Linked DNA regions of Pelodiscus sinensis. The protein of the gene in region 1 purifies or fractionates together with the protein of each later gene. This does not show direct contact. Links are inferred from orthologs where the notes say so. Each region holds a gene or a part of one and is shown in the gene's direction. Other genes may lie near its edges.

Region 1 (15,002 bases):
CTGGAACGCAGCAGAAATGAATAAGCCTTACCGTAGTGAATTTAGATCAAGTTTACTGCAAGATAGATGGAGCTTTACTAAGCTGCAATGTAACCAAAGGAATTGTGTGAAAATTGCTGGCCTTATCCTTAGTGCTTACCAACGAGCCTAATATTGGACATCTGTCATCTAGCAATGTGTATGGGAAGAGGTAACCCTTTTCAAATCTGAAATTACTTGAATTATTTTGTTAAATTAAGTTTGACTTCCTTGATATAACGCAATACAAGCGGACAAGTACAGCTCTTCTAAGGATAAATTTTGTCTAACCTGTAACAATTCTTTGAAAGGGTTAACTAAATAATGACAATTTTTTATTTAGATTTTTTTAAAACTTCTGAAAAAATTCCTGTCAACCACCTTCAGCCATGAATTCTTCCTGACCACATTTGTGTTTCATTGATAAAGGTAGGTAGCAGTGAGCTGAGAGACTCAAGGTTTTGATATAGATTAAAAAATAGTTAAGGGTTAGTCAAAAAATAAGTGTCCAGTTTTCAGAATAGAAAGGGCCTTAAAGGAAGCCCCACAGATAAGTTCTAGAATTGGTAATTAATATTTTAATTTAAGGAAATTAAGGGTGACTAGAGAGGTGGCAAAGTATGCTTATGAAATATTAGGTTCCTCAAGCCTATGGAGTTTTGAGGAACTTCACAAGTACTGATTAGCCAGAGTCTGTGTAACCCAATGCAACATAAGGCATGTTAAGACAATTTAAACTTAACATGTACAGTGTATGAGTTGTGAATTAATGGTAACGCCACAAAAAAAAGCTAGGTATTGTACTCCAGCAAATGTGCACATTTAGCATGTCATTCATACGTGTTTTGCTTGGGGGGGAGTAAAGACTAAAGTGTGGAATAGGCACTAGTTCAGCACTTAATGCACTGCTGAAATGGTGACCAGTGCTTTCATCTGGAGAGCCAAACATATTTCAAAAAAGTGAAGGCTCAAACCAGTACTCTGGATCTTTATCCTATTCTACCTTCTTTGCCCTGTTCAAATAGCACAAGGGGAGCAGAAACCACCCATGAGTCCCCAGCAGCCCCAGACATGACATAGCTCCTTTGTGGTCCCTGCACCCTGGTACCAGAGGTGCATATTGCATTCCAACTATCTCCAGCTGACTGACCCATTGTAGCCCCTAAGGTGCTGTAAGTCATGTTGAGAATTGTACAAAGATCAGTTTGTATGTTTTGTGATCTAAACTGGTCCACTGAGGTAAGGAAGGAATTTCACACCCCATTTGTCATTGGTGTACTGTGTGAGAATTACACCTTCCTCGAAGCATCACACACTGGCCGCTTGGAAACAGAATACAGAACTAGACAACTCGTCTATTATAATGTAACAATTATTTAATAAGATCTAGATATTATTGTGTTCTTAGGTACAAAATGACAAGTACAGCTCCTGTCACAGCTGATCCCCATTCCAGATCCCTGGAAGGACACACGGGTCTATATCCTGCCTCAGGTTTGTAAAGTAACCCAAGGGTTAGCATCCTAGATTAAGTAACATAAGAAACCAATCCACAGTTTATTTTCCCTAGTAAAACTTAACTCAGCAGTCACCTGTTTACTGATGTTGGCACAATCTATGATTGTGTCTAGATCAGTTTGGTCAATTTGGCTGTTTTCATTCTGCCCTGTGTCTACCTACCTTTTTCCACATGGCATCAGGAGAACTGTATGCCAGAAAATATTGATGTGGCTGGAAAGAAAAGCAAAGGGGGCTACAGGTTTGTGACTGATACAGACAAAGAGTTATTCCGCACATCTATCTGGGATGGCCACCCAGTTTGTGCTTCTCGGGCAGGCCCTTTCCCTTTCCCCGCTTTTTGTTAATTTCTACAGGAGTGAAACAGATGTTATCTGGAGCTGTTTGACTACTGAAATCCTACTCTGAGAAGGTGGGTATAGAATTGCATGCTTTATACAGTCCTTATTTTCCTTTCTCTCTGATGAGAGCACCCATTGGGGCATAAGGTCTCAGACTGGATGAATGTACTGTTGTAAAAACAGCCTATTGATTAGCATTGAGGCCTTTACCCCCAAGTCTTAAGATGTGCTGTACAAGGCCTACTTCAGAGTGTGTGTGTGTGTGTGTGTATATATATATGCTCTTTTGGTGACACCCAAGAAGATGTGTATATGTTGACACTGCTCTTTTTGCTATTAAACAATATATTAAATATTAAACAGTTTAAGTGAAGTTACTCTGGACCTTGTGTGTTTATTTTAAAACCTATTTTCAGCAAAGGATTTTTGAAAAAAACTTATTTAATGCAGAAACAAAAAACAGGACTATGTAGCACTTTAAAGACTAACAAGATGGTTTAATAGGTGATGAGCTTTCGTGGGCCAGACCCACTTCCTCAGATCAAATAGTGGAAGAAAATTGTCACAACCATATATACCAAAGAATACAATTAAAAAAATGAACACATATGAAAAGGACAAATCACATTTCAGAACAGAAGGGGGATGGGGGGGAGGGAAGGTAAATGTCTGTGAGCTAATGATATTAGAGGTGATAATTGGGGAAGCTATCTTTGTAATGGGTAAGCTAATTAGAGTCTTTATTCAAACGTAAGTGTAAAGTGTCGAATTTAAGCATGACTGACATTGGACAAACGTCTCAGACACTTCGCCAAAGGATCAATGCCCACAAAACAGATATCAGACAGGATCACAAAGAAAAAACAGTTTCTTGCCATTTCAACCAGAAAGGACATCGTCTCAACGACTTGATTACCTGCATCCTGCTTCAAAGACCTTTTAAGACTTCACTTGAAAGAGAATCCTCTGAACTGTCATTCATGCTTAAATTTGACACTTTACACTCAAGTTTGAATAAAGACGCTAATTATCTTACCCATTACAAAGATAGCTTCCCCAATTATCACCTCTAATATCATTAGCTCACAGACATTTCCCTACCCCCTCACCCCCCTTCTGTTCTGAAATTTGATTTGTCCTTTTCATATGTGTTCATTTTTTTAATTGTATCCTTTGGTATATATGGTTGTGACAATTTTCTTCCACTATTTGATCTGAAGAAGTGGGTCTTGCCCACGAAAGCTCATCATCTAATAAACCATCTTGTTAGTCTTTAAAGTGCTACATAGTCCTGTTTTTTGTTTTAGCTATACCAGACTAACACGGCTACATTTCTATCATTATTTCATGCAGGTTATTTTAAGGCAATATTAAGAACCGTGTCTGTTTCAGGGGCCGGGGAATACAAAAGCTGCTTCACTCCTGTTGCCTCCAGGCACTTTTGCTTGTGTGGTGAACAGAATTTAACAATGGTGTGTATGTATGCTGTGGAAGGACTGGTGATCCCAGTAGGCTTGACCCAAGCCCTGGCTGGGATGATTTAGTTGGGATTGGTCCTGCTTTGGGCAGGGGGCTAGACTTTATGACCTCCTGAGGTCTCTTCCAGCCCTATGATTCTATGATGGGGAGGGGATATTTCAAATGCTTACCTTTCCACAATTCTTGGGTATTTTCAGTGCAATGTGAAAATTACACTTATGCTTAAATTCCTATATAATTTTACTCTTATGTGCTCTCAGCATTTGTTTGAGGTTATTTCACCTGCCTATCAGAGGGGTGCAGTTGCTTTCCACTCCTTCTTTCCCCCAAAAAAAGTCTCGTAATGAAAGCATCTTCATCTCTGGCTTGCAAGCACATAGAAGAATAGAACAGACTGAGAGAGAAGTTTTTTATTAAATAGATTAGTCATAAGTGGTGTTTATCCCAGATAATATTGCATAGGCGCTTGCCTTACATTGCGTGCATTTATAATACAAGCTAGGCTAGTCCTGTTGTGAGAAGAAATAGCTGATCTGCATGGGGAAAAAATGGTGGAAAAAATGTCCTCTAAAGTAACACTTGGGCATGAGCCATACTCAGTCCCCTTACCTCTTTACAAAATCTATATATTGAATTACCAAGGATGTTCCTGCTTCTGCTCCACAGATGATGAATTTCCCGGTCTCCTTTGTTAATTTGTTACTTCAGAAGTTGAGGACTGGCTCAATGTGACCACACCACAGAAGCCCTGAAGTCTTTTCTATCTGGTTAATATTGGCATAATCCAGTGATGGGCTCAAAGAGCAACAGCTGCTCTGTTTTATCTGTAGGAAGTAGATTCTGCTATCTTCACTGCATGTGTCATGTGATTGTAGATCATGTAATGAGGATCCACTATGTCCATTTTCATCAGAGATGGTCAATATGTGGTCTGCCTGATGTAGTTGTGGACCTCAAGACAATACAGATTCTGCAGAATGTCAGTTTTTAAAAAGAACAGTACAGGTTAACCCTCTAATCCAGCACCCTCAGGACCTAACTGGTGCTGACCCAGAGAATTTGCTGCACCAGGGGAAGTCAATGTTGTCTAGCTGCTTTACCAACACTTCCACTGCTTACTGGGCTCTTAGAATACATTTGGGGTAAATTAGAGCTAAATAATAGCACAGAACAGAGAAAGCCAGGACTGGTAGCTGTAAACAAATGTTATGGGACCATGGGAAACTTGGCTACATCGATGATGATTGAAGATCCAGCTCACACCTGATCATGTGCCCAAAGGGAGAATGGAACATCCAGCCATGTTGGGGATGGGAATGGAGGGACAATGGTAGGGGAAGGGCATAGGAGACACACAGCCACTGACATATAGAAGAGGGAAAAATGGGGGCTGCTTTATAGCCCTTAGCATGAGAGATGGGGAGGGTTGCAAAGAGTCCTTGAAATAGAGGGAGCTAGGATGGTAGTGCTTGGGGGGATGGGAAGAGGGAAATGGAGGGATCTAAGGAACTGATACGTGAAATGAACTCACCCTACCTAAACTACAAAATATAGTAGAACATAATTAAAAATGGAATTTGGCTGTCTTACTGAATGAATTTAACAACTTGACCTTTGATTCGTTCTCTTCCAACATCACTTGCTGGGACTTGTCCGGGTCAGTGCTGAACTTTTGCCTGCTCCTTCAGATGCCACAGGAAGCCATGTTAACATTTGAAAGGCAGTGCTAGTCCTGTCCTGCTCAATTCCAGTCAGACTTTAGATGATGGGCAAAATTTTCAAAAGCAGTTAAGTGATTTAGGAGCCTATGTTCCATTTTCATAAGTGACTTAGGCACTAAAGAGCATACATCTCATTGACTTAACTTTTGAAAATGTCACATCCTCTCTGCACTGTGTTCATTAAGTTGTCAATAAGCCTTTTGTATTTATCACCTTTGTGTCTAACTTGGGAACAGCTAAATACTGCCCATAGGCTGCATCTGGGCCACTGACCCGGCCCACAGGAGCCGCTGCCAGGCTCCCTCCCTGCCTGCTCTGCCCTGCTGCTCAGAGCAGCTCTCTGAATGCTGAGAGGCCCCCTGACTCCAGCACAGTCTTGCAGCTTCCATTGACTTGTTTCTGGCCAATAGGAGCTGCCTGTTTGCAGGCCAGGAAGTGCATAAGTGCCCCACCTCCATCAGGATTGCAGCATTCAGAGTCACATGTGGCCCTTGCAACCAGTACAGGGGCATGGAAGGCAGGGACCCTGGCTGAGGAACCAGTTGGGCTGCTGGTTGGGAGCTGCCCAGGTAAGTACCTTCCAGACCTCCCTCCCTCTAACCCTGCTGCCTTATGTAACCCAAACGCACAGCACCACTGCTCCTGCACCCTAATCCTCTACTCCTGGTCACAACCCAAATCCCTGCACCCCTCTCCTGCACTCCTATTCCAGGTCACAACCCCTTGCCAGACCCTGCATTCCCTTCTACACCCCTCCTCCAGGTCAATCCTCTCCTGCACCCATACCTGCTCCGTGACCCTGCACCCGTCTCCCGCTCCAGGTCAACTCCCTCTACCCAAACTCCTTTCCAGATCCCACAGCCCCTCTTGCACCCTAATCCCTTTATCCTAAAATCCCTTTTGCACCCAACCTTTATCCCAGACCCTGCACCTCCATTAATATGGAAGAATGTGGCTCTTGACCACCAACCAAATTCTTTTCCAATTTTTTTCATAAAAAAAGTCCCCCCTTGCTAAGTGCTAGTTTATATTGCTCTTAATACTATGAGTAAGATCAGTTTGTGCCCTTAATAAATGGGTGCAATGAATCTAATTATTAATATCTGTACAGCAGACTCCCTTTCATAGCAATGTTCATGTGCTCTGTGACATGCTGAAACTAAAGACTGTAGCAAGGTACATAGATTCTGCTGCATTTTGGTGCAGCTGGCTGGAAAAGCTGCAGCAGCTTCAGGCATGTTCAAAAATGGAAGTTTTGATTAAGAAAAGGAGTAAGAACCACTACAGTGGAAATACAGATTTTAAGTATGCTCAAAGTCACCATGTTCAGAATGAATGAATTAGGAAAAGTGTGAAGGTGGTACTAATTATAGAAACCAAAAGGACTCTAGACTTAGATGATTTAAGCATGTGAAAAGATTAGAAAAATGTATAAGAAACAGGATGTTTCACTTTAAAAGTGGAGGGCAAGAAGGATTGGTAGACCCAAAACTGAATTGATGCTTTAAGACAAAGTGGAATAGAGAAGGACTTGAAGAATCAATCCCATATGAGACCTAGACTAGAAGTAGTAGTAAGAACTCACTACACCATGTTCCCTTGTGCTACTTAGTTTGATATTCTGTGTAATCCCTGTTAGGGGGTTCACAGCTGGGATTTAAGGCACCAGGGAGGCTGTGTGGGATTGTGAGAAACACTTTAGTTTGTTAAAATGATCAGTATTTTTTACAATCAATGTTGATATTTAAAATGTGACTGCTGTGGATAACAACAGATAAAAGCTGAGGCAGTTAAATCTCAGATTGGATGTTTCAAACTACCTGTAAACACAGTTATCCCTCTCTTGGTCACACCTGCTTCACTGTTTGTGTTTGCAACCACAAGGGCTTAGAACCTTTAAAAGCTAAAGCTTAGAGCAGGGGTGGCAAAAAATCAGTCAGGCCCCACGAGAGAGAAGCAAAAACAAAAAAACACCCAAACCCACCCTCACTGCCCTGGCACCCGAATGAGGAGAAAGATATTCCCCTCACACACAAAAACCTTAGGGAGCCTAGGCTAGTAGATTTTGTGTGCTCTGGCCCTTGAACCTTAGGTTCCCCAACCCCTGCCTTAGAGTGAGTCAGATGAAAGTGGCAGAAGCAGATGGTAGCCTTGGAAGGGGTTCATGCACATTTATATGATTCCAAGGCTACTCACTTTTCCTATGACCCATTCCTTCCATTGTTCTGTGACTTCTGGTCAGCTTTTACATTTGTCTGTATTAACAGTACTTAAATACAGGGTCCTACATTTATACATGCACATGCACCACTAAATTCACAGCACAGTACTGGCTTCATGACATGTTTTTGATTTTTTTACTACCTAACATTGCTGCCTCCTTCCACAAGCTGCCCTTTGGGGATTTATGGACTCACTGTGTGACTGCCTGCAGGATGGCAACACCCAGCCCAATAATACAGAAGACAGGAGGAGTTTTTCCTCCCTCTGCTACCATTCTGAATCCTTATGCACATATATACTTTTCCCTTTGAGGATGTTGGCTGGAACCACACAACTCAGATCCTGCCTTTACCTTGACTAAAAGATAAAATTGTGTTAGAACATGACCTGGAGAAACGATGTTAGTTAACACAGTATCATTTGCTATGGGGCAAGGGCCCCTTCCCTTTATTGGAAGTCACCCCCCATTTCACAGATCTAAACACTCTTCCATGTTCCAACAGCCTCACATGGAAATGTGACTGATTTGCATAAACCTACACAGGGTGTGTCTCCCCAGCATCTGAAACTCAAAATAAGATAAGCAATTTGCGCTACACAAATTGCGTAGCTTATTTCGAGTATTTCAAAATTGCTCATTTCATCATTTGCCCCTGTCTACTGCGCCAAATTTCAAAATACAGCGCTATTTCAAGCCATCCCTTACTCATACAATGAGGTTTTACAGGGATGGCGAAATAGCGGACACGTTCAAAGGACATGGGGTAGCTACCTCTGGTATCCCAAAAAAACGTTGCCGTGTAGACAAACCCCCAGGGACAAAGGAGGGAGACCCTCCGAGTTCCATTTTCTCTCCAAATCCCTCCACCTTAAATTCATCACACGAGCCTGCAGCTGCATTTCATTGCAAACGTCCTGCCTCCGTCTTACACAAGCCTGAGGGGAAGAGCCACTTCACACGGTCTGCTCTCCAAAATCCCACGAGTCTCCTTGAACCCTGCAGCCTACGGGGCCGTGCCGCGCGCGAGAAGAGTTGCAGGAGGAAACTGGCTCTAGCCTGCTCCCGCGCCTTTGGTAAAAAGGAAAGAGCAGCGCGGAAAAGCCCGGCAGCACGTGCCCAGGCGGAACATGGTGCCACGCGCCTTCTCCTCTGTCTTATTTATTAAAGAACCCGTTGTTCTAGCGGAACTCAACAGCCGCTAGGTTCTACCTAGAACTTTGCATGCTGGGACTTATAGTCCTGGCCACGCTAGCGTAGCGGCCGCTATCTGCTGAAGTTTGTCCCTTTCCCCACCCCGTCTCCCTCCGTTCCTTTAACTTCGCTGTCTCCAGCGGGCCAGGCCCGCCACATTCCAACGTGGGTTCCACAAGAGGGGTCCTTCCTCTCAGGGCTGCCCACTCGCTGCCCGACAAAAATATTTTTCTTCAAGGGGTCGTTTCTGCGACTGAAACAAAACTCGGAAGTTTAAAACGATGTCCCCAGTCACGCTGAAGGAGGAACTCGAGAGGAGCGGAGAGGTTACAAGACCACAAGGCGGGGATGCGAGTGAGGCACCGCGCGGGGCAGCTCCCGCTGCTGGGTGAGAGGTCAGGCTGGGGGCCTATTCCCTTCCCCTCCTCCTGACATGCCAACCCGGCAGTCGGCTTGGTAGCTGCTTGCGCAGAGTGCGTGCGGGCCGCCCCGTCGGGCAGGGGAGGGCGCAGGCCCGGAGGGGGGGATGACGGGGCGGGGGTGATCCCCGGCCTGGGCAGGGAGCGGTGGCGGGGCTGAGGAGCCCCGGGGCTGCCGCTGAGCGGGGTGGGGGGCCGGGCCCGGCCGGCACTGGCGCGCTGGTGACTGACTCTGCTTTGCTGTGCAGGTGCCAGCTTGATCCCTCGCGAGGAAACGGGCCGCTGGGTGCCAGGGCGGAGGATGGAGCTCGAGCTCATGGAGAGCGACATCCTGGAGTCGTTGGAGGATCTAGGGTAGGTGTCCTCTCAGGGGTACACCCGGGGCCAGCTCCCCCCCCCCTCCCGGAGTCCCCAGCCAGAGCTGCGGGTGGGAAGGTGGATCTGTCTCGGGGTAGGTGACTTGACCGTTTTCATGAGGGGGATCGAAGCTGAAAACTCCTTGTGCTCGTGTTTCTCTGTTAGCTCGGGGTGGCCAACGTGACACCCGCCTTTTGTTCCCTCTTCCACAGCCGCTTCTGAGGATCTCCTCCAGTGGCAGGTGGGACTTTCAACGGAAAATCTTTATTCTAGGAGAAACCTGACATTACAGGTTTTGAAATGTACAAGAAGCAGGCCTGAAAGACTTTCTTTCTTATTACAGCATGTCTATTGTATTGCCAGGGCTATGGCGTTCTGTCTGTTGATGATATATGGTGCTCTCATAGAATCCAGATAGCTGAGGAATGGTCTATATTGGGAACTTCATCATCACTACATCTTTCAGGGGTGTGAAAAATCTACACTTGTGAGAGACAGAGCTATACACTCCTAACCTCTGATGTAAAATTCTTCCTTCATTTTAGCAACCACCTCTTGGCCAGGTGGGTTGCCTATGCTGATAAGAAAATCCCTTTCATTTGCCCCAGATAGTATGTACAGTGAAACATTTTGAGGAACAGCTGTAGTGTCTTGCAGTGCCTTGCAATTGTTATATGCGTATCCTAGCAGTGTCACTTAGTGTTGAGAGAGTACTGTTGCATTCATTTTACAGATGGGGAACTGAGTCACAGAAAGACTGTGACTCAAGGTGTCATAGGAAGTCTGTGGCAGAGCAGAGAATGTAACATTTGGTTTCCATGGACAATCCTTCATTTGTAATTGAATGGTTAACAAAAGATGTCTTACTACAAAGTGTTCATTAGGTACTGAAGTCAAATAGATGTCAACAAAAACAAATACACCAAACAACTTTAAGTCTCTGATTAAAATTCCCTTCTGCTTTCATTGCCTTGATTCTTGTGATTTCATCTCTTAACTAATTTATTGACCGTCATGTGCTTTCAGGCAGATTGGGGGGTAGAGGAGAGAGAAGCAGGAAGAAAACAAAGGTTTAAGCTTTGTATATTATATAGAAGAGTAAAAAGACACAAGCCAATTTTTTTCTTTTTCAGGTTATTTTTATGACACAGCGAGCCAAATTCCTTATTCAGGGAAGTACGCTAATTTAACTTTCAATGTCAATAGAAGGTTGCACAGATATAATGAAGGGCAGAATTTGTCCAAGTGTGCTTTTGTTAATCCATCTGGACTAAACAAAAATGGTATCAAACTGTGGATTACAAGAGGTGCAACAGAAGTACAGCAGCCAGAGCAGAGACATTACTGTAGGGAAGAGAAGCAGAAGCATGTGTGTTGTGGAGCATGCAGAAGAGCTGCAGAAGTGGAGCTAGGTTATGAGGGAGATGTTATCTGGAATGGCATTCTTAGGGAAGGGAGAATTGGTGAGTGTGTCAGAAAGAGGGGTTTTTACTTGACAAATTACTTAACCCTCAATCCTGCAAAGACTTACTTTGTGCCCTGAGAGTAACACCACAAATCTTTGCAGGATGGAAGCCCTTATATGCTAGTAGAGACATCTGTCATCTTTAATATCTATCAAGAGTTGTCTGCACCAATTGTGTCAAAGTGGACTCAATCATTTGAGGTTTTACTTCAAGATATCAGGGTCCAGTTGGTTTTGAGGTTTCTTTGATCTCTTTTCAAGATGGATATAGTACATCAAAGCAATCTAGCATGTTTTATATTTACCAGAGTACACGCCATAATCTGTACTTTTATAAATAGTAAATACTTCTAAAACAGTAAATAACTAGAATGCACTGCATTTAGAGTTAGTATGTGCAACACCCATTGTAGAATTGTGGGTGTTGATGCCAGGACTGAATTTGGCCCATAATTCTCCTCATGGAGACAACTTTTCACTTCCTTAATGTCCATTCAACAGAAAATTTTGTTTCACTACTTATCTGTATCCAGTGTTTCCATTTTGCATTGTCTAGCAACCCAGTCAAAATATGAAAGCAAATGGCATGTGGCAGTAAATAAACAAAAAGGTAATAGTCAGGCACCAGTTACTTAATTTATTATGAAGTAATAATTCCAGAGAGGTACTTTAGAACTGCAGAAAGAATAGATCAGTAAACTTAACATCTATGATAAGTTGCACTCCATATTTACGTAGCATTGTTCAGAATAAAAACATTTTGAATCCTTACACGTTTGCTTAACTCAAATGTTTTTATGGTCCTGTTTCCCCATAATTAAACTCCTGAATTTGTGTGACATTTCCTAGTATCTTCAACACTTCAGATATAATAGTGATACTCCTCACATTTGCATGTAGATGTTAAAAAAATCAGTAGCAGAATTCATTCATAATAGACTGTCAGGCCTTGATTTACAGGGGGTTATGATTTTTATATAAAAAAAGGTGTAAATAGAAATTGTGTTTTAAAAAAAAAAATAAAACAAGAATCTATAAGAAATAAGGTTTTAGGTTCTGGGCTCTCAAGAGGATATCCCTAACTTACACAATACAGTGCTATAGGTGTCAAAATGGTTTTTAAATGAAATTTAAATTTGCTGCAGTACAGGTAATGTCCTAACTTTTGCTGATGTTGAGGATGAACTTGATATACTACTAGCATTATGATCATATTGTTGAAGGTAGAACTAGGAGTATCTATCTTGGAGCAGTGGGGTGGGCCCTGATTTTGGGTGGTTGGGCAATGACAGGTGTGGGAGAGGAGGCAGGAAGGATCCGGGCTGCTTCCACTCAACCTCTGTAGTTGGACTTGTGGGTGGGCCATGAATAGGGTGGGCCATGAATAATCTGTCAAGAAGCCTCCCCAGGCACACATCTTGGGCAGGGGTTTGGGGCACTGGCACCTATTCCACTGCACCCAACCACCCGGTGCTCCTGCCGGAGAGTGGAGTTAAGGGCTTGCCTGGCTCTGTCTGCTGGGCACTTTAGATGGGTAATAGTGACTAGGGCTCACCCAGCTTTGCCTGATGTTCTAGCTAGGGAGCAGGGTCAAGGGCTTGTCCCACTCTGCCTGCCTGCCTGCCTGCCCAGCACTCCTGCCAGGAGGCTGGTGATGGGAATTTGCCCCACCCTGCTTGCGTGGGTGCGGAGGCTTTCCCGCTCCCTGGCTGGAATCCCATTTGCCCTGACCCCACCCCTTGGCAGGAACGCTGGGCAGAGTGGTGCATGCCCTGTACCTGCTCTTGGGCTGGAGAGCTGGGTGGGTGGAGCTGTGCAAATCACCAACCTTGTTCCTTGACAGAAGTGCTGGGCAGAGCAGGGCAAGCTCGTTCCATGGCTGAAGCACTGGGCACAGTGGGGCTAGCCCCCGATCCCACTCCTTGGCCAAACCCCTGACCCCGCATCCCGGCAGGAGCTCTGGGTGGGCAGAGCATGGCAAGCCTCTGTGCCCCAGCCCTGCTCTCTAGCTGGAGGACCAGACGGAGCCAGGCAAGCTTCCAACCCTGGGGCTGCAGGGCACCTGGCCAGAGTTTCTCCCAAGGCCAGCAGCAAGGGGTGAATGGAAATCTGCCTCCATCCTGCCTGCCTTCCTTCCCCCACCTCTGTCATTGCCTGCCCACACAAGTGTTGTCTGGTTATGCCACTGATTTGTGCATCTTGGCAACTGCGCTACTTTGTGTTAGTGAATTTTTACCATGTACAGAAATGAAGGGTTACAGTTAATTGACCATGTATAACTGAAACAGCAAAAAAACTCACGTAAATCGAGGCCTGACTGTACACATGTAATAAGTGGTACTTTTAATTTTGCCTGCCAGTTACAAAGGTCCATTGTTAGAAGATGGAGCACTTACTCAAGCAGTCTCTGGTGGAGCCGGTTCCCCTGAATTTACCAAACTCTGTGCTTGGCTGGTGTCTGAGTTAAGGTTATACTGTAAACTAGAAGAAAATGTGCAAGCAACTAACAGTAAGTAATCACAGCCTTGAGAACAAAATTGTGCAGTTAAAAAAACTTTTTTTTTTTAAGGTGTGTGCGCTATAGATTTGGGCTGACACTTAAGTCAATTGTGCCACAGACTACTGTCTGCATCCTGTCAGTTTGTGGATATTTTCCATTAGGGATGTGAAATCTCGTTTTATTAGTTAACTGGTTAAACGTTATGTTAACCAATTAAACTGGGGGAAGGTGGAATGCTGTCTCTTGTGGATGGGCAGCAGCTGCTGCAGGTGGGGGGTGCTCCAAGTCCCCCAACACTTGTGGCAGGCCCCGTGGGGTTGGAGCAGGCCCTGGCCTGTGACAGATGTGGGGGGTGCTCCAGGCCCTGCCAGTGAACCATAACCAGTAAGCATCACCCAGTAAGGGTGATGTTTACTGGTTGATCATTCACATCCCTATTTTCCACCTATTTTTTTTCAAGCTGACTTGGTGTGCATCCAGCAGAGTTCATTATTGAGATGAATTTTCTACTGAAGTTCGTTTTCCCTTTTAACTAATATTTCACACAGATGTGTGTGTTCAGTTCTTGAATATGTTTTTATTTTTTGTGGAAACAGTTTTATCAATTTCAAAATAACTTTTTTATAACTCTTTGAGGATCCAATATATTAAATGACTAGAATATTTACCCAGCCTTGCTCGGATCCTTAACTCACGTAAGGTTTTTTTTTCTTCATTTAAATCACTGTTCTGGGGTGGGGCTGGATATGAGAGAGGACAAACCCAGCCATCTCTCCCTGCAGCAGCTTGGGTCCAGGTGAGAAGTGCCTGTTCATGGTTGCTGCAGTGGGTACACCCAGGAGAGGGGTGCAGAAGGAGTGCATGTCCTCCAGCTGGGGGACAGACAGATGCATAACAGACATACAAATAGACAAACTCTGAAATATATAGTAGAAAGCTGTCCCTTTCTCCACCCCTGCTGGCCAAATGGGGTTATATCTGTGATGATCCCCAGCTCTCTCCTCTGTCACCTGTGGTCATTCTGAAGTATAACTGTCCTTCCTACCAGACACCTCCCTTTCCATTTTATGAGAAACAATCCAGTGCAAGACACGTCCCAGTGTCCTGGCACAACCAACCCCTGACCTTGCTTTAAAACATTCTAGAAAATGTTTCAAACAATTTTGTTGAGTTTTCAGTGAGCTCTAATTCTGGCAATCTTCATGCTTAATATATGGATTCTGATACACAAAGGGTCTCCAGAGCAGGTATTCAACAGAATTCTGAGTATTTTTGAAATTGTATACACCTCTTACCTATTTTTGTTACAAGTAACACTTAACCGTAATATTTTCTTTAATCTTGGAGTTACAAACTTTCCTGTATTTTCCATTTGTTTACTTTGTGAAGTAATTTTCCCTGGTATAGGTAGTTTTGCCTTTTGTTAAAGAAAGCATTCAAAACTTCACAAACTTTTTTTAAAAAAGGAAAATATAAAAACACAGGGCTTTTGCACAAGGAAAACATCTTTTGTCATTCTAAATGTTGTAGGGATGTTAGCGATCAAGTTATAGAATAGTCGACTAACTGCATTCTTAGAGGTTAGTCCACTATTCTATAGTTCCTGAGGTGGGGCTGGCAGGCAGTGCAGTCTGACCCCACTCCCAGGGAGCCCCCTCTCACCCTGCGCTCCTGCCTCTGTATTGGAGGCAGCAGCATGGAGTGCCAGGTGGGAGCCCGTCCACAAGGGGAGCCAGTTTAAAAACCAGCTACCCCTGCAAACCGGCTGC
Region 2 (15,493 bases), on another chromosome or scaffold:
TTTGCTTCTCCCACCCTGCACATCCAACTGGAGGCTCCTGGGGGCAGCTCCAAGGCAGAGGGCAGGCATGCCAGTGGGGGAAGAGGTACTGAGGTGCTGGCACTTGAAAGCCTGCCAGCCAAACCGGTCAGGATTAGGAATCATAGAACTGGAATGTAGAATACCCTTTAATCAGTGAACTGGCTGAACGTTATGTTTAACTGGTTAACCACTCAAATAGGGGAGGCCGCTTCCGGCCACCAGTTAATTGTAGCAACTAATCATCACCCGGTAACCAGGGTTAGACAAACCCTGGCAAGAGCCACTCGCCAGCCCCGCACTGCGCATGCGCGAAGCGCCCGTGAATGGGGCTCACAGTGCGACCAGCTGAAATCTACTCACCACGGGCGAGTGGATTCAGGGTTTGTCGAGCCCTGCTGGTAACTATTCACATACCTAGTTAGGGTCACCTGTCAGAGGCTCCAGGAACTACTATTAGATCCCGATCTACTAGTTGAGAACCACTGCCTTACAGTAACAGACTCCAAGAACTAACTCTTATTAACATAACAAAGAGGGTGACTTTTTCAGTCTGTATTTGCTTATATGGGGAACAGAAATTTAAGAGAGAGCTTTTCAATTGGCAATGAAGATGCCATGAATGGAAACTGAAGTGAGGCCTTGTCTACACTGCAGACTTTTGTTTTGTTGTTATTTTGATTTTCCCAAAGGCAGCTTTTTCGTGTCAAACCAAAGGAGATGTACACTCTGCAGTGCCCCTTTTGGTGACAAAATAATTCACTTGAAGAGAGGCATGGGGCTTTTTATGCAAAAGTTGTGTTGCTACAGTGTCAATGTAGACCCCTCCTTTGCTTTTATCTCATTGCCTCCAGAAAGTGTTCTACCACGCCCATCCTGACTGCACTGCCCTGCAGCTGCCCACTTCGCCTCCTCCTTTGAAGCCCTGGGCATTTTTGGAAATTCCACTTCTTTGCTCCCATCCCATTGTCTCAACAGACCATGGCACCTCCATTCAGCAAACGCTCTCTGGCATGGACCGCATTTGGAGCGAGGAGGCTGTGCAGCCCCAGCCACGCGCCATACCTAGAGGGCTAAGATCAGGACATGCTGCAGTGCAGAGCAGAGTTCTGGTCCACATGCCTCAGCTCCTAGAGGGCAAGGGAGCTGAGCCACGGCCCTGGTGCAGCCGTCTTCATAAGGATTGGGTCGCTATCCTTGGCATCGATGCCACCTGTACTGCCTCGGCAGGGCTGGAGCCTGCAGAAAGTGGATGTAGGCCAGACAATGAAGTCACTGATGAAGAGGTGAAGGTAAATGACAATGTGGGACCCATAGTAAGGTCACCCAGTGCTGCATCTAGACAGGAGCTGTTCTCAACTCCAGAATCACAGAACTGGCTGGGCCCTCAAGTCCAGTCCCCTGCTCTCACAGCTAAGGATCTCAACGTGAAGTCAATTATACAATTAACCAATACGCCTAGGCTTATGGGTTCATCTTGTCAACTACACACATCCTCCCGCTTGCTACCTCTGTGGGGGGAGCAGGAGCCGGTGCCTGTGAGATGCTAGCTTAAAAGCAGCTCCCCATGAGCACCGGATCCACCTGGCCCCCCACCCGCCACGCTGCTGCCTCTGGTAGAGAGGCAGCAGCACAGAGGGTGAGGGGGCAGGCTAGAGTTGATATGTGTGGGCTCCCATTGACCCACATTCCCCCACCTTGCTGTCTCCTACAGAGGCAGTGAGGAGGGGCACGCAGAAGCCGGTGCTGCCTCCTGCCCTGCCGCTTGCATCAGAGGCAGCAGCACAGGGGGGGAAGGGGGCGGGGGAGGCTGCCATGAAGCAACGTCTGTCAGCGGGAGAGCCAAGCTTCCCATGGAGCAGCCTGTCTGTGGGGAGCTCAGACCCTCCATGGACGAGGCTGCTGCTCTGTATCAAGAGGCAGCAGTTCAGGGCAGCCGGTCTGCACAGGGAGCTGGTTTTTAAACTGGCTCCCCTCATGGACTGACTCCACCTGCCATCCCACACTGCTGCCCCTGTGGCAGGGGCTCCTGGGAGTGCACAGGCTGCTGGCCCCACCCACAGGGACTATCGAATAGTCGTGTAACCACAGTTACACTACATCTAACATCCCTACTCACAATCCAGATCGGGGCGGGGAACCTTTTTTGGGTTGGTGGCCACTGACCCTCAGAAAAAAAGCAGTCAAGGGCTGCACACAAGTTAGGGGAAAACCCCCTCATTGACGTGGCCACCCACTGGGAAGCAGAAAGATGTTCCCCACAGTCCCCTGTGCACTAGAGCCCAGAGGGCCCAACTAAGGATGTTCAAATGCGGTTATCAGGCTAATCGTATAGTTGATACAATTTGTATCAACTCCAGGAGCCACCTGCACTGCGGCTCTGCATTTTAAATGTAGTAAGAGCTGCTGGGCTCCTACTACATTTAAAATGCAAAGGCGGAGAGATCAGCACAAGCCAGGACTGGTTGGCCCCAGCTTGCACTGAGTCCAGCAGCCCCTGTTCATGATGGACAGCCCTGTCCGCTGCAAACCTCTGCCTGCGGCCAGCCCTGGTTGCTGCAAACAGGGGCTGCTTGGCAGCAACAGCCCCAGTCCACGGGGTGTCCAGCTCCCTGCTGGGACCTCTATGGATAGGGGCTGCTTTGCAGCAGCCTGCCCTATCTGCCCCCTTGCTGCCTCTCATAGGGAAGGGCGCAGCAGGGAGAGCAAGACCAGTGGGCCCTCAAGCTGTCCCCACTGACCCTGTGTTCCCACTTCAGCCTTTGAAATGTACAAGAGAGCTGCAGGAAGCAGGGGGCCAGCAAGACAGTCCCTGTTCTCCCTGTGGCACTTTCAGCGGTTGCACGGTTACCTGTTTAACCCACTTTTTACATCTCTCGTCAATAGTGTGACATGGCTGCAAAAATAAGCAGACATCACTCTGGGATACATTAATATGAGTGCTGTCAGCAAGACATGAGAAGTCATTCTTCTGCTCTACTCCATGCTGATTAGGCCTCAGTTGGGAGTACCGTGTCCGGTTCCAGGCACCATATTTCAGGAAAGATGTGCAAACATTGGGAAAAGGCAAAAGAAGAGCACCAAAAGTGATTAAAGGTCTGCAAAACCTGACCTATTCTGGAAGACTGAAAGAAATGGATTTGTTTAGTCCGGAAAAGAGAAATCTGAGAGGGGGCATGATAGTAGCTTTCAAGTACCTAAGAAGTTGTTAGACAAAGGAGGGAGAAAATGTATTCTCCTACACCTCTGATCATAGGACAAGAAGCAACTGGCTTAAATTTCAGAGAAGGAGATTTATGGGGGACATTAGGAAAAGTTTCCCGTCAAGGTGCTTAAGTGCTGGAATAAATTGCCTAGGGAGATTATGGAATCGCTATCATTAGACAAGCACCTGTCAGAGATGCTCTACATGGTGCTTGGTCCTGCCTGCAGGGGACTAGATTTGAAGACCTCTCCAGGGTCCTTCCAGTTCCATGACTTAGGTGTCCCTGTGCTGCTGGGCTGGGGTGAGCTCAGCACATTTCCCAGAAGATTACAGTGCGGGTGGTCTAGGTTGGATATTAGGGAAAACTATTTCCCTAGGACGGTGGTGAAGCACTGGAATGGGTTCCCTAGGGAGGTGGTGGCATCTCCATCCCTAGAGGTTAAGCCCCAGCTTGACAAAGCCCTGGCTGGGTTGATTTAGTTGGGATTGGTCCTGCTTTGGGCAGGGGGCTGGAATCATAGAATCATAGGGCTGGAAGAGACCTCAGAATGGACTTGATGATCTCCTGAGGTCTCTTCCAGCCCTATGATTTGAAGGTGTCTTTCCTCATCCAAAAGTTCTGCAGCTGAAAACATACATAACAACGTGACCCACCTGAGCCAAAAGTGACGTGCTCCATGGTGCGCAACTGTTCCCTGAATGCCCAAAGTGATCAAATGCCGCTTCTGCCAAACTCAGACGATGCCTCAGGCAACAGTGAATCCCATGAGGTTTGAAACTTCACCATTAGCTACAGGGCTGTTCAGTGCCGTGCTGCTGACAGTTATGCTAATACGGGAGAGCCGGGTGGGATCCTCTCTTGTACACAGCGATGGCAAGGGGAGCAGAAAACAAGGGATTTAGAAAAATGCTTAGCATGCCGGGACCATAGAGTCCAGACCCATGACGCCATCCGCTCTGCCTTCCCACAAGAGCTAACAGTGAAGGTGGAGAGCTACCCACACTGCAGTGCTCTCTGTTCATGCTGCTGCCCCAAGTGTGGAAGTGCTCTGCAGACAGAGGACAATGGGAACATGAAACACCACCTTTCTTTTAGGGCTTTTTGATCAGCAGCTACACTTTCAGTGAAGCAATTCGGGCAGAATAGATATACCTAGAAACAGGACGTGAAATGTTAACAAGGAGGGTAATTAATGACTGGGATAATTTCCCAAGGATTGTGGTGGATTCTCCTCCACTGACTGTTTAAAATCAAGATTGGATTTGTTCCTTAAAGATCTGATCTAGTTCAAATAGCCATTAACTCAAGGCTGCCTATACACTGGGACACAGAGGTCAGACCAGACAATTGAATCTGCCACCATCTCAATCCGCTCTACCTCTTCTCCTCTGCCCCCTCCCCAGCTCCACCCCTCCAGTTCCTCCCTCATCTGCCCCTCCCCAACTCCACCCCCTCCTGCTTCCTCCCTCCTCTGCCCCCTCCCCAACTCCACCCCCTCCTGCTTCCACCCTCCTCTGCCCCCTCCCCGATTCCACCCCCTCCTGCTTCCCCCCTCCTCTGCCCCCTCCCCGGCTCCACCCACTCCTGCTTCCCCCCTCCTCTGCCCCCTCCCCGGCTCCACCCCCTCCTGCTTCCTCCCTCCTCCGCCCCCTCCCCGGCTCCACCCCCTCCTGCTTCCCACCCTCTCCTGCTTCCCCCCTCCTCTGCCCCCTCTCCGGCTCCACCCCCTCCTGCTTCCCCCCTCCTCTGCCCCCTCCCCGGCTCCACCCCACCTGCTTCCTCCCTCATCTGCCCCCTCCCCGGCTCCGCCCCCTCCTGCTTCCCCCCTCCTCTGCCCCCTCCCCGGCTCCACCCCACCTGCTTCCTCCCTCATCTGCTCCCTCCCCGGCTCCACCCCCTCCTGCTTCCTCCTTCATCTGCCTCCTCTCCAACTCCACCCCTCCTGCTTCCTCCCTCCTCCGCCCCCTCCCCGGCTCCACGCCCTCCTGCTTCCTCCCTCCTCCGCCCCCTCTCCGGCTCCACCCCCTCCTGCTTCCTCCCTCCTCCGCCCCCTCCCCAGCTCCATCCCCCTCCTGATTACTCCCTCATCTTCCCCCTCCCCGGCTCCGCCCCCTCCTGCTTCCTCCCTCCTGTTCCCCCTCCCCGGCTCCGCCCCCTCCTGCTTCCTCCCTCCTCTGCCCCCTCCCCGGCTCCACCCCCTCCTGCTTCCCCCCTCCTCGGCTCCACCCCCTCCTGCTTCCCCCCTCCTCTGCCCCCTCCCCGGCTCCACCCCCTCCTGCTTCCCCCCTCCTCGGCTCCACCCCCTCCTGCTTCCTCCCTCCTCTGCCCCCTCCCCGGCTCCGCCCCCTCCTGCTTCCTCCCTCCTCTGCTCCCTCCCCGGCTCCACCCCCTCCTGCTTCCTCCCTCCTCCGCCCCGTCCCCACGCCCTCCTGCTTCCTCCCTCCTCCGCCCCCTCTCCAGCTCCACCCCCTCCTGCTTCCTCCCTCCCTGGCTCCACCCCTCCTGCTTCCTCCCTCCTCCGCCCCCTCCCTGGCTCCACGCCCTCCTGCTTCCTCCCTCCTCCGCCCCCTCCCCGGCTTCACGCCCTCCTGCTTCCTCCCTCCTCCGCCCCCTCCCCGGCTCCGCCCCCTCCTGCTTCCTCCCTCCTCCGCCCCCTCCCCGGCTCCACCCCCTCCTGCTTCCTCCCTCATCTTCCCCCTCCCCGGCTCCACCCCCTCCTGCTTCCTCCCTCCTCCGCCCCCTCCCCGGCTCCACCCCCTCCTGCTTCCTCCCTCATCTTCCCCCTCTCCGGCTCCACCCCCCTCCTGATTCCTCCCTCCTCCGCCCCCTCTCCGGCTCCACCCCCTCCTGCTTCCTCCCTCCTCCACCCCCCCCGGCTCCACCCCCTCCTGCTTCCTCCCTTCTCCGCCCCCTTCCCGGCTCCACCCCCTCCTGCTTCCTCCCTCATCTTCCCCCTCCCCGGCTCCACCCCCTCCTGCTTCCTCCCTCCTCTGCTCCCTCCCCGGCTCCACCCCCTCCTGCTTCCTCCCTCATCTTCCCCCTCCCCGGCTCCACCCCCCTCCTGCTTCCTCCCTCCTCCGCCCCCTCCCCAACTCCACCCCCTCCTGCTTCCACCCTCCTCTGCCCCCTCCCCGATTCCACCCCCTCCTGCTTCCCCCCTCCTCTGCCCCCTCCCCGGCTCCACCCCACCTGCTTCCTCCCTCATCTGCTCCCTCCCCGGCTCCACCCCCTCCTGCTTCCTCCTTCATCTGCCTCCTCTCCAACTCCACCCCTCCTGCTTCCTCCCTCCTCCACCCCCCCTGGCTCCACCCCCTCCTGCTTCCTCCCTCATCTTCCCCCTCCCCGGCTCCGCCCCCTCCTGCTTCCTCCCTCCTCCGCCCCCTCCCCGGCTCCGCCCCCTCCTGCTTCCTCTCCAGCTCTGTCCCCTCCCTGGGGACAGGGTGTGTACACGTCACGGTGGGGGCTGAGGCTGCGCAGGGCAAGAGCCGGGACTCATTTTTGTCCACTCTATAAGGCGCCCCTGGCGGAGGGATTCCGATGCGCTTGCGCTTTAAGTTTTCTCTGCCCCTCCCCGCCTCCGGCAAGTTCCCTCTCAAGGACGCGCATGCGCAGCGAGGGTCAGCTAGCGTGCGGCGGATAACACGCTCGGTGGGGGGGGCGCACGCGCAGAGGGAGTGCAGCTCTACGCATGCGCAGTAGAAAGCAGCCTGAAGGTTCCCTCCAACGCGTAGCGCCTCGGACGCTTCGTCTTCCCACGCATGCGCAACGCCCACCAACGGTCTTCTTACCCGGCGGAAGAATCTCAAAAAGTTCTCCACTCGTGTCATCACGTGGTTCGACTGATCACCGCGGTGCGGAGGTGCCCGGCTGGCGGTGCCGTCGGCGCAGGCGCAGTGAGCTGGCTTCCCCGCCGCGCTGCCCTTCTGCTCTCGGCTCAGCCAGGCTCATTGTGCGGAAGGAGCCAGGCCGCAGCGCGCTCCAGCCCGGCCGCCGGCGCCCCTCCCCCCGCCCCGCGCGCCAACCGCCGCCGCCTCGCGCCGCCGCTCGAGCCGCCTCGCGCGCGCGCGCCCGCCCGCCGGACTCCTCCGGGGCCGCGCCGGCGCCGCCATGTTGAAGCAGCCGCAGCCGCTGCCCCCGCAGCCCCCCCCGGGCGGCCCCGGGCCCCAGGCCGGGCCCCCGCCCGCCCGCAAGGCGCCGCCACCCGGCGCCCCCAGCCCCAACGGCAGCCTGAGCCCCAGCGCCGGGCCGGCCCGGGCCGCGGCCCCGACCGGGGGAGGCGGCGGCACCAGGTAACGGCGGGGCGGGGCCGGGGCCCTCGTGCGCGGCGGGGGGGCTGGGAGGGAGCGAGGGTCCCGTCACTGCGCGCGCGTCGCGGGGGGGGGGGGGCTCTAACAGCGCGAGCGCGGCGCTGATTGGTCGTTTGTACAGCCAATCCCCGCCCAGCGGCGCGCGAGAGCGAGACCCCGGCCCCTCCCCCGCCGTGGGACCCAGCGTCCGCCCCTCCCCCCCGCCACGGAACCCAGTGTCAGCTCCTCCCCCGCCGTGGGACCCAGCCTCCGCCCCTCCCCCTTCCCCCCCAGCCACGGAACCCAGTGTCAGCTCCTCCCCCGCCATGGGACCCAGCCACCGCCCCTCCCCCTTCCCCCCCAGCCACGGAACCCAGTGTCAGCTCCTCCCCCGCCGTGGGACCCAGCCTCCGCCCCTCCCCCTTCCCCCCCAGCCACGGAACCCAGTGTCAGCTCCTCCCCCGCCGTGGGGCCCAGCCTCCGCCCCTCCCCCTTCCCCCCCAGCCACGGAACCCAGTGTCAGCTCCTCCCCCGCCGTGGGACCCAGCCTCCGCCCCTCCCCCTTCCCCCCCAGCCACGGAACCCAGTGTCAGCTCCTCCCCCGCCGTGGGACCCAGCCTCCGCCCCTCCCCCTTCCCCCCAGCCACGGAACCCAGTGTCAGCTCCTCCCCCGCCGTGGGACCCAGCCTCCGCCCCTCCCCCTTCCCCCCCAGCCACGGAACCCAATGTCAGCTCCTCCCCCGCCGTGGGACCCAGCCTCCGCCCCTCCCCCTTCCCCCCCCAGCCACGGAACCCACTGTCAGCTCCTCCCCCGCCGTGGGACCCAGCCTCCGCCCCTCCCCCTTCCCCTCCCAGCCACGGAACCCAGTGTCAGCTCCTCCCCTGCCGTGGGACCCAGCCTCCGCCCCTCCCCCTTCCCCTCCCAGCCACGGAACCCAGTGTCAGCTCCTCTCCTGCCGTGGGACCCAGCGTCCGCCCCTCCCCCCCGCCACGGAACCCAGTGTCAGCTCCTCCCCCGCCGTGGGACCCAGCCTCCGCCCCTCCCCCTTCCCCCCCCCAGCCACGGAACCCAGTGTCAGCTCCTCCCCCGCCGTGGGACCCAGCCTCCGCCCCTCCCCCCCCGCCACGGAACCCAGTGTCAGCTCCTCCCCCGCCGTGGGACCCAGCCTCCGCCCCTCCCCCTTCCCCCCCCAGCCACGGAACCCAGTGTCAGCTCCTCCCCCGCCGTGGGACCCAGCGTCCGCCCCTCCCCCCCGCCACGGAACCCAGTGTCAGCTCCTCCCCCGCCGTGGGACCCAGCCTCCGCCCCTCCCCCTTTCCCCCCCAGCCACGGAACCCAGTGTCAGCTCCTCCCCCGCCGTGGGACCCAGCGTCCGCCCCTCCCCCCCGCCACGGAACCCAGTGTCAGCTCCTCCCCCGCCGTGGGACCCAGCCTCCGTCCCTCCCCCTTCCCCCCCAGCCACGGAACCCAGTGTCAGCTCCTCCCCCGCCGTGGGACCCAGCCTCCGCCCCTCCCCCTTCCCCCCCAGCCACGGAACCCAGTGTCAGCTCCTCCCCCGCCGTGGGGCCCAGCCTCCGCCCCTCCCCCTTCCCCCCCAGCCACAGAACCCAGTGTCAGCTCCTCCCCCGCCGTGGGACCCAGCCTCCGCCCCTCCCCCTTCCCCTCCCAGCCACGGAACCCAGTGTCAGCTCCTCTCCTGCCGTGGGACCCAGCGTCCGCCCCTCCCCCCCGCCACGGAACCCAGTGTCAGCTCCTCCCCCGCCGTGGGACCCAGCCTCCGCCCCTCCCCCTTCCCCCCCCAGCCACGGAACCCAGTGTCAGCTCCTCCCCCGCCGTGGGACCCAGCCTCCGCCCCTCCCCCCCCGCCACGGAACCCAGTGTCAGCTCCTCCCCCGCCGTGGGACCCAGCCTCCGCCCCTCCCCCTTTCCCCCCCAGCCACGGAACCCAGTGTCAGCTCCTCTCCTGCCGTGGGACCCAGCGTCCGCCCCTCCCCCCAGCCACGGAACCCAGTGTCAGCTCCTCCCCCGCCATGGGACCCAGCCTCCGCCCCTCCCCCTTCCCCCCAGCCACGGAACCCAGCGTCAGCTCCTCTCCTGCCGTGGGACCCAGCCTCCGCCCCTCCCCCTTCCCCCCCAGCCACGGAACCCAGTGTCCACTCCTCCCCCGCCGTGGGACCCAGCCTCCGCCCCTCCCCCTTCCCCCCCAGCCACGGAACCCAGTGTCCACTCCTCCTCTGCCATGGGACCCACTGTCCGCCCCTTCTCCCCCAGCCACGGAACCCAGTGTCCACTCCTCCTCTGCCATGGGACCCACTGTCCGCCCCTTCTCCCCCAGCCACGGTACCCAGTGTCCCATCCTGGGAACTCAGTGTCCGCCTTTTCCCTGCCGTGGGACCCAGCCTCCGCTCCTCTCCCTCCCTCCCCCCCAGCCACGGAACCCAGTGTCCACTCCTCCCCCGTCGTGGGACCCAGCCTCCGCCCCTCCCCCTTCCCGCCCCAGCCACGGAACCCAGAGTCCACTCCTCCCCCGCTGTGGGACCCAGCCACGGAACCCAGTATCCATTCCTCCCCCGCCATGGGACCCAGCGTCCGCCCCTCCCCCCCAGCCACGGAACCCAGTGTCCACTGCTCCCTTGCCGTGGGATCCAGCCTCCGCTCCTCCCCCTTTTACCCCCCAGGCACGGGACCCAGCATCTACTCCTTCCCCGCCGTGGGACCCAGCGTCCGCCCCTACCCCTTCCCCCCCCAGCCACGTAACCCAGAGTCCACTCCTCCCCCGCCGTGGGACCCAGCATCCGCCCCGTCCCTTCCCCCCCCCAGCCACAGAACCCAGCATCCACTCCTTCCCCGCCGTGGGACCCAGCATCCACCCCCTCTCCTCCCTCCTGCCATGGAAGCCAGCATCCGCCCCTCCCCTCCGCTGTGGAACCCAGTGTCTGCCCCTCTCCCTTCCCCCCCAGCCATGGAAACCCAGTGTCTTTCCCCCTAGCCATGGGACCCAGCATCTGCCCTTACCCCACCATGGGACCCAGGCGTCTGGCCTCCCAACCCCATCCTTCAGCCCCTGTCGTCCCTCCCAAACTCTAGGACCCAAGCATCTGGCCTCCTAGTTGCCCCTCACCCCCATCCCCACAGAGCCCGGACAGGACACACACATCCCCCCTCCATGAACCCTGGCTTCTGGTCTCCCAGCCCCACCTCCCCCACTCTGGAATTCAGGTGTCTGGCCTCCCCCCTTGCCTCTCCAGAGCCAGGATGGGCTCCCAGCAGCCCCTCCCACTCTCTCTGGCCACCACCCTGAGCTGGGACAGGACCCTGGTGTCCAGGCTTCTAGCATGTCCCCTCTCCTTGCCCACCCTACATCTCTTGCCCCTCCCAAAGATGAGCTAGAACCCAGGCATATAGGCTCCCTGCCCCCTACCCTCCACTCCCCAAGCAGAGCCAGACTAGATCCCAGGTGTCTAGGCTCCTAACCTTCCCCCCTTCCAGAAGCTCCCAGGCTCCTTCCAACCCAGATCTGGGCTTGAACTCCCATATCTGAGTTCCATGACCCCACTTCCACCCAGAGCTGGGATAGGACCCAGGTGTCCAGGCCTGGGATGTAATAATGTAGTTGATTAACTGATTACGTGTATTCCTCCCTCCTCCCCCACTTTGCCAGTACATTTTTTTAGCAGGCTGGCCAGCAGCCTGGCTCAGTCCTGGATTGTGACAGATCCAGGACCTACCCCTGCTGCGGCTCTGCATTTAAAGTGTATTAGGAGCTGGGTGGGCAGGCAGCCCAGTTTAATTCTGGCTCGCGCTGGGTCTGGAAGCTCAGCCCCTCCTCTGGACAGGGGCTGCTGCCACCGCACCCTGCTGCCTCTGGTTTTTATACTGGCTCCCCTCACAGACCAGTTCCTGCCTGGCACCAGCGAAGTGGCGGGGGGCTCCTTGGGAGTGGTGCCGGAGTGCACAGGCTGCTGGCCCCACTCCCAGGGACTATAGAATAGTCAAGTAACTGATAAGAATTCATGAGATCAATTAGCCGCTATTTAACATCTCTCGTCCGGGCTATCGGCCTGGTGAGCCCGGCCTAGTGGCTGGGCCTGGCTGTGGGGCCTGAGGCTATAGCAGTTCTGTAATCAGCACTCTCTGTGATTTGTTTTCAGGGGGCAGAGCACAGGGAAGGGGCCTCCCCAGTCTCCAGTAAGTACCTCAAGCTCTTTCTAAAGGGGGGAGGGGGAACCTCCTACTGGTCACAGGATCTCCCAGCCAAGCCAGGCTGTCAAGCTCTGTCTGTGGTACTGACTTCCTGATCAAGGGCTGCTTTTCTTCCGCCTCAGCCAGGGTGGCTGGACAGGCCCTTCCTCTTTCCTGAGAACATGGCCTGGGCTGAGGACAATTTGCACTGGACCCCATTCATTCCTTCCCCTGGGCTTCTGCTGGACTTGCTTTCTGCATCATGGTACCAGTGCAAGTGTCACTGTTTCCCAAAAATGTGCGCTAGAGATGCATGGGGCCCCCAGCATTCTGACCCTGTGGCCCAGGGGCTGTGTATGGCTCATAGCTGATTGTTGGTAGCACTAGCATCTCTTGGATCTGAAGGGACATCAGTATGACAAGGTCCTCAGTGAGCCAAGCCAGTTCCCCTGGCGCCTGGAGGTAGATCAGAATCAACACTCTTAAATGGTGCCGTTCCTCACCCCCTGAGCCTGCCAGTTCCTTTTCCTGAGGCCAGATTGGAGCTAGTGTCCCCTGGAAGGGGAAGGCCCATACCTCCTTCCCAGATACCCCTTAAGGCAATGTATTGCTCCAACCCAGGTCCAGATTGGGGTGAAAGGTCCCATTGTTTCCTCAGTCCCCAGTGTGCCTGTGCTTTTAAATTGGTCCCTCACTTTCACTCCTAGTGTGCTAGAAACACTTACCGCATCCCCACTGGCTTCTCATCCCTGGGGGGTGTTCTGCTCTGAGAAGCAGCTTTAAAAGAGGCACGTTATGCCTCAGGTTCATGGTCCTGATGACAGCCGATTTAGTCTGCACTCTTCTCAAGGCCAGACGTGTTCTCTGGCTCCCTGAAGATGGCTCTTCGGCTTTGACTATCACAGCAACAGACGCTACCTCAGCAGAGCTGTGCTGCAGGACTGGGCTGGGAGGTGGAGCGTGAGGCAGGGCTCATGGGAGTTGCCGTACTAGTGGGGAGAACAGAGTCGCCAGTGGGACTCTGACATCCAGCTGTCTCTCTCTCAGATCCACCTTGGAGGAGGTTTCCCTGCAATGCTGTCTCTTCCCTCTCACTGGGCCATGTGCTGGGGTTGCTGGGTGAGATTCTCTGGCTTGGGTTATGCAGGAGGCCAGACTGGACCATTCTGGCCTTAAGAACTGTGAATTCTTTAATTGGCTCCTTCTGGAAAGAGGGGGCAGGCTCACTCTGGGCCTGCCAGTGCCGATGGGGTTGGCATGAGCTCAGGGTGCCAAAATGTGGGGGTCGTTCAGGACCTAAGCCTGCGTCTCTGCACAGCAGCAGGTGGCTGGCCCTGGAGACATACCTCAAGCATGCCCTGTAACAATAGCACCACAGAGGTGATTGCTGGTAGCCCGGGCTCCGAGGGTGGCGCATCTAGGGGAAGCCGGGGAAATGCAGGAGGGATGCTCACTGCTCCTTGCTGATGGGCTCATCTTACTGTGTTAACGACAGGTATTTGAAGGTGTCTATAACAATTCTCGAATGCTGCATTTCCTGACGGCTGTCGTGGTAAGTGCTGTCAGTTCCGCTGTAATGCTGAGGGGTTGCTCACCGTGGTGCACTCAGAAGCAGGCTGTAATTTGGGAAAAGGGGGAGTGTTTAGCTTGGGAGGAGGGTGGTCATGCTATCCCCTCTGTCAGAAATTCCTGGTTCCCAGCAATGGCCTTTGAGTTGGGAAGCAGGGAGTGGGGTGGAGAGGGAGGAGTCTGGGGCATGGGGGCGGAAGGAGGGAAGAGAGGGAAATGTGGGGTATTTTCGGCCCAGGGGACTGGACCTGTGGGGGGAGAGGAAAGGATCAGCAGGCGTGTTGATGGCAGGGGCAGGAAGGAGAAGGAGCTGAAGGCTGGCACTGCAGTTTGGGTGTCAGTGCCAGCTGCTGCTATGCCTGTTGGATGTGTTCATCCCCAGAGCATGGAGGCCTGGTCGTTATGTGCCCAGTGGGACTGGGGAGAGGGCACTGGGTGCTGTGCATGCCCTGCTGTAGAAAGAGAATTGCTTGGAGGTGGTCTGGGAGCTTCCCAGCCAAAGATTTCACCTCATCCCCACCCACCCACCCACCCTGCAAGCAGCCCAGGCTTTGGCAGCTTTTGCATTCACAATAGGTCACATTGGTGTTTCCCCAGCGAAGTGGGGCTGGCTGAGCTAAGGGCACCCAGGAGCAGCCGTGAGTCCAGGTGCTCATGGCACAGTGTGTTGCTTCCTGGCGATCCCTTTTGGGTCTCCCCTCTCTCCCAGCCCAGGAGGGTGAGCAGGGCGACTCTGGGAGCTGCATGGGGGTTGGGAGTGGTGGGAGGCAGATTGTGCTCTGGGGAGGGGACCCTGGACCCTCTGGCTTGTGCTTTCCCAGCCAACGCTAATCTCTGGCTCTGTCCCCAGGGCTCCACGTGTGATGTGAAGGTGAAAAATGGCAGCACCTTTGAGGGGATTTTTAAAACCCTCAGCTCTAAGGTAAATGTTACAGGGGGTAGAAATGGCAGCTGTTAGCATGGATGGCCAGTCCTTTGGACAGCAGCAAGTTGGTATTTGGGGCAGGGCAGCGCCTCTGAGCTCTGCAGAGGATGTGTGGGGTCCCCCTTGGCAGTGGTGGGGGAGGAGCAGCGCCTCTGAGCTCTGCAGTGGGCATGCGGGGTCCCCCTTGGTAATGGCGGGGCAGGGGCAGCGCCTCTGAGCTCTGCAGTGGGCGTGTGGGTTCCCCGTGGCTCTCAAGGCAGGGGCAGCGCCTCTGAGCTCTGCAGTGGGCATGCGGGGTCCCCGTGGCTCTCGAGGCAGGGGCAGCGCCTCTGAGCTCTGCAGTGGGCATGCGGGGTCCCCGTGGCTCTCAAGGCAGGGGCAGCGCCTCTGAGCTCTGCAGTGGGCATGCGGGGTCCCCGTGGCTCTCGAGGCAGGGGCAGCGCCTCTGAGCTCTGCAGTGGGCATGCGGGGTCCCCGTGGCTCTCGAGGCAGGGGCAGCGCCTCTGAGCTCTGCAGTGGGCATGCGGGGTCCCCGTGGCTCTTGAGGCAGGGGCAGTGCCTCTGAGCTCTGCAGTGGGCATGCGAGGTCCCCGTGGCTCTCAAGGCAGGGGCAGCGCCTCTGAGTTCTGCAGTGGGCATGCGAGGTCCCCGTGGCAGTGGTGGAGGAGGCCTGGCTCTCGAGGCAGGGCACAGCATGCAGTAACCGTTGCTGTTTGTAGTTTGAGCTGGCAGTGGATGCAGTGCACAGGAAGACCCAGGATCAGCTGGCAGGACCTAAGCGGGAGGACATTGTGGACACCATGGTCTTCAAGCCCACGGATGTCATGCTGGTGCATTTCCGCAACGTCGATTTCAATTATGCCACAAAAGGTAACGTTGGCCCTTGGTCGGGGCCTGTCCCTGCTTGGTGCGGAGTTGGGGGGTTGCCCCGCAGGGTGCAGACCTTACAGCCCATTGTCTGCTCCTAGACAAGTTTACGGACTCAGCCATCGCCATGAATTCCAAGGTGAATGGGGAGCACAAAGAGAAGGTGCTGCAGCGCTGGGAAGGGGGTGACAGCAACAGCGACGACTACGACCTAGAGTCTGACATGGTAAGAACCCTGCTGCTTGGATCCTGGGCCTGGAGAGAGGGCTTGGCTACCCACATCCCTTCCGCGGCTGCGGGCTGCAGAGCCCATCTCTCACACTTGTCCTTGTTGCAGTCTAATGGCTGGGACCCCAATGAGATGTTCAAGTTTAATGAAGAAAACTATGGAGTGAAGACAACTTATGACAGCAGTTTGTCATCCTACACGTGAGTGTGG

Evidence for each region.
Region 2: the proteins of FAM98A (region 1) and ATXN2L purify together in Homo sapiens (co-immunoprecipitation; 3 studies listed by BioGRID and IntAct, with this or other methods). This does not show direct contact. The link is inferred for Pelodiscus sinensis from reciprocal best matches to the Homo sapiens genes FAM98A and ATXN2L.

The regions. Positions count from the first base shown.
Region 1 is NC_134713.1:139,026,819-139,041,820, reverse strand, and holds the start of FAM98A (protein FAM98A), read left to right. Parts: upstream 1-7,066; 5' UTR 7,067-8,773; coding exon 8,774-8,880; exon of another isoform or gene 8,881-8,965; intron 8,966-9,159; coding exon 9,160-9,265; intron 9,266-9,480; coding exon 9,481-9,509; intron 9,510-13,093; coding exon 13,094-13,242; intron 13,243-15,002. UniProt on the Homo sapiens protein: Positively stimulates PRMT1-induced protein arginine methylation. Involved in skeletal homeostasis. Positively regulates lysosome peripheral distribution and ruffled border formation in osteoclasts.
Region 2 is NW_027465989.1:87,529-103,021, forward strand, and holds the start of ATXN2L (ataxin-2-like protein), read left to right. Parts: upstream 1-7,190; 5' UTR 7,191-7,331; coding exon 7,332-7,513; intron 7,514-11,662; coding exon 11,663-11,699; intron 11,700-12,740; coding exon 12,741-12,812; intron 12,813-13,188; coding exon 13,189-13,245; intron 13,246-14,112; coding exon 14,113-14,184; intron 14,185-14,906; coding exon 14,907-15,057; intron 15,058-15,155; coding exon 15,156-15,280; intron 15,281-15,391; coding exon 15,392-15,483; intron 15,484-15,493. UniProt on the Homo sapiens protein: Involved in the regulation of stress granule and P-body formation.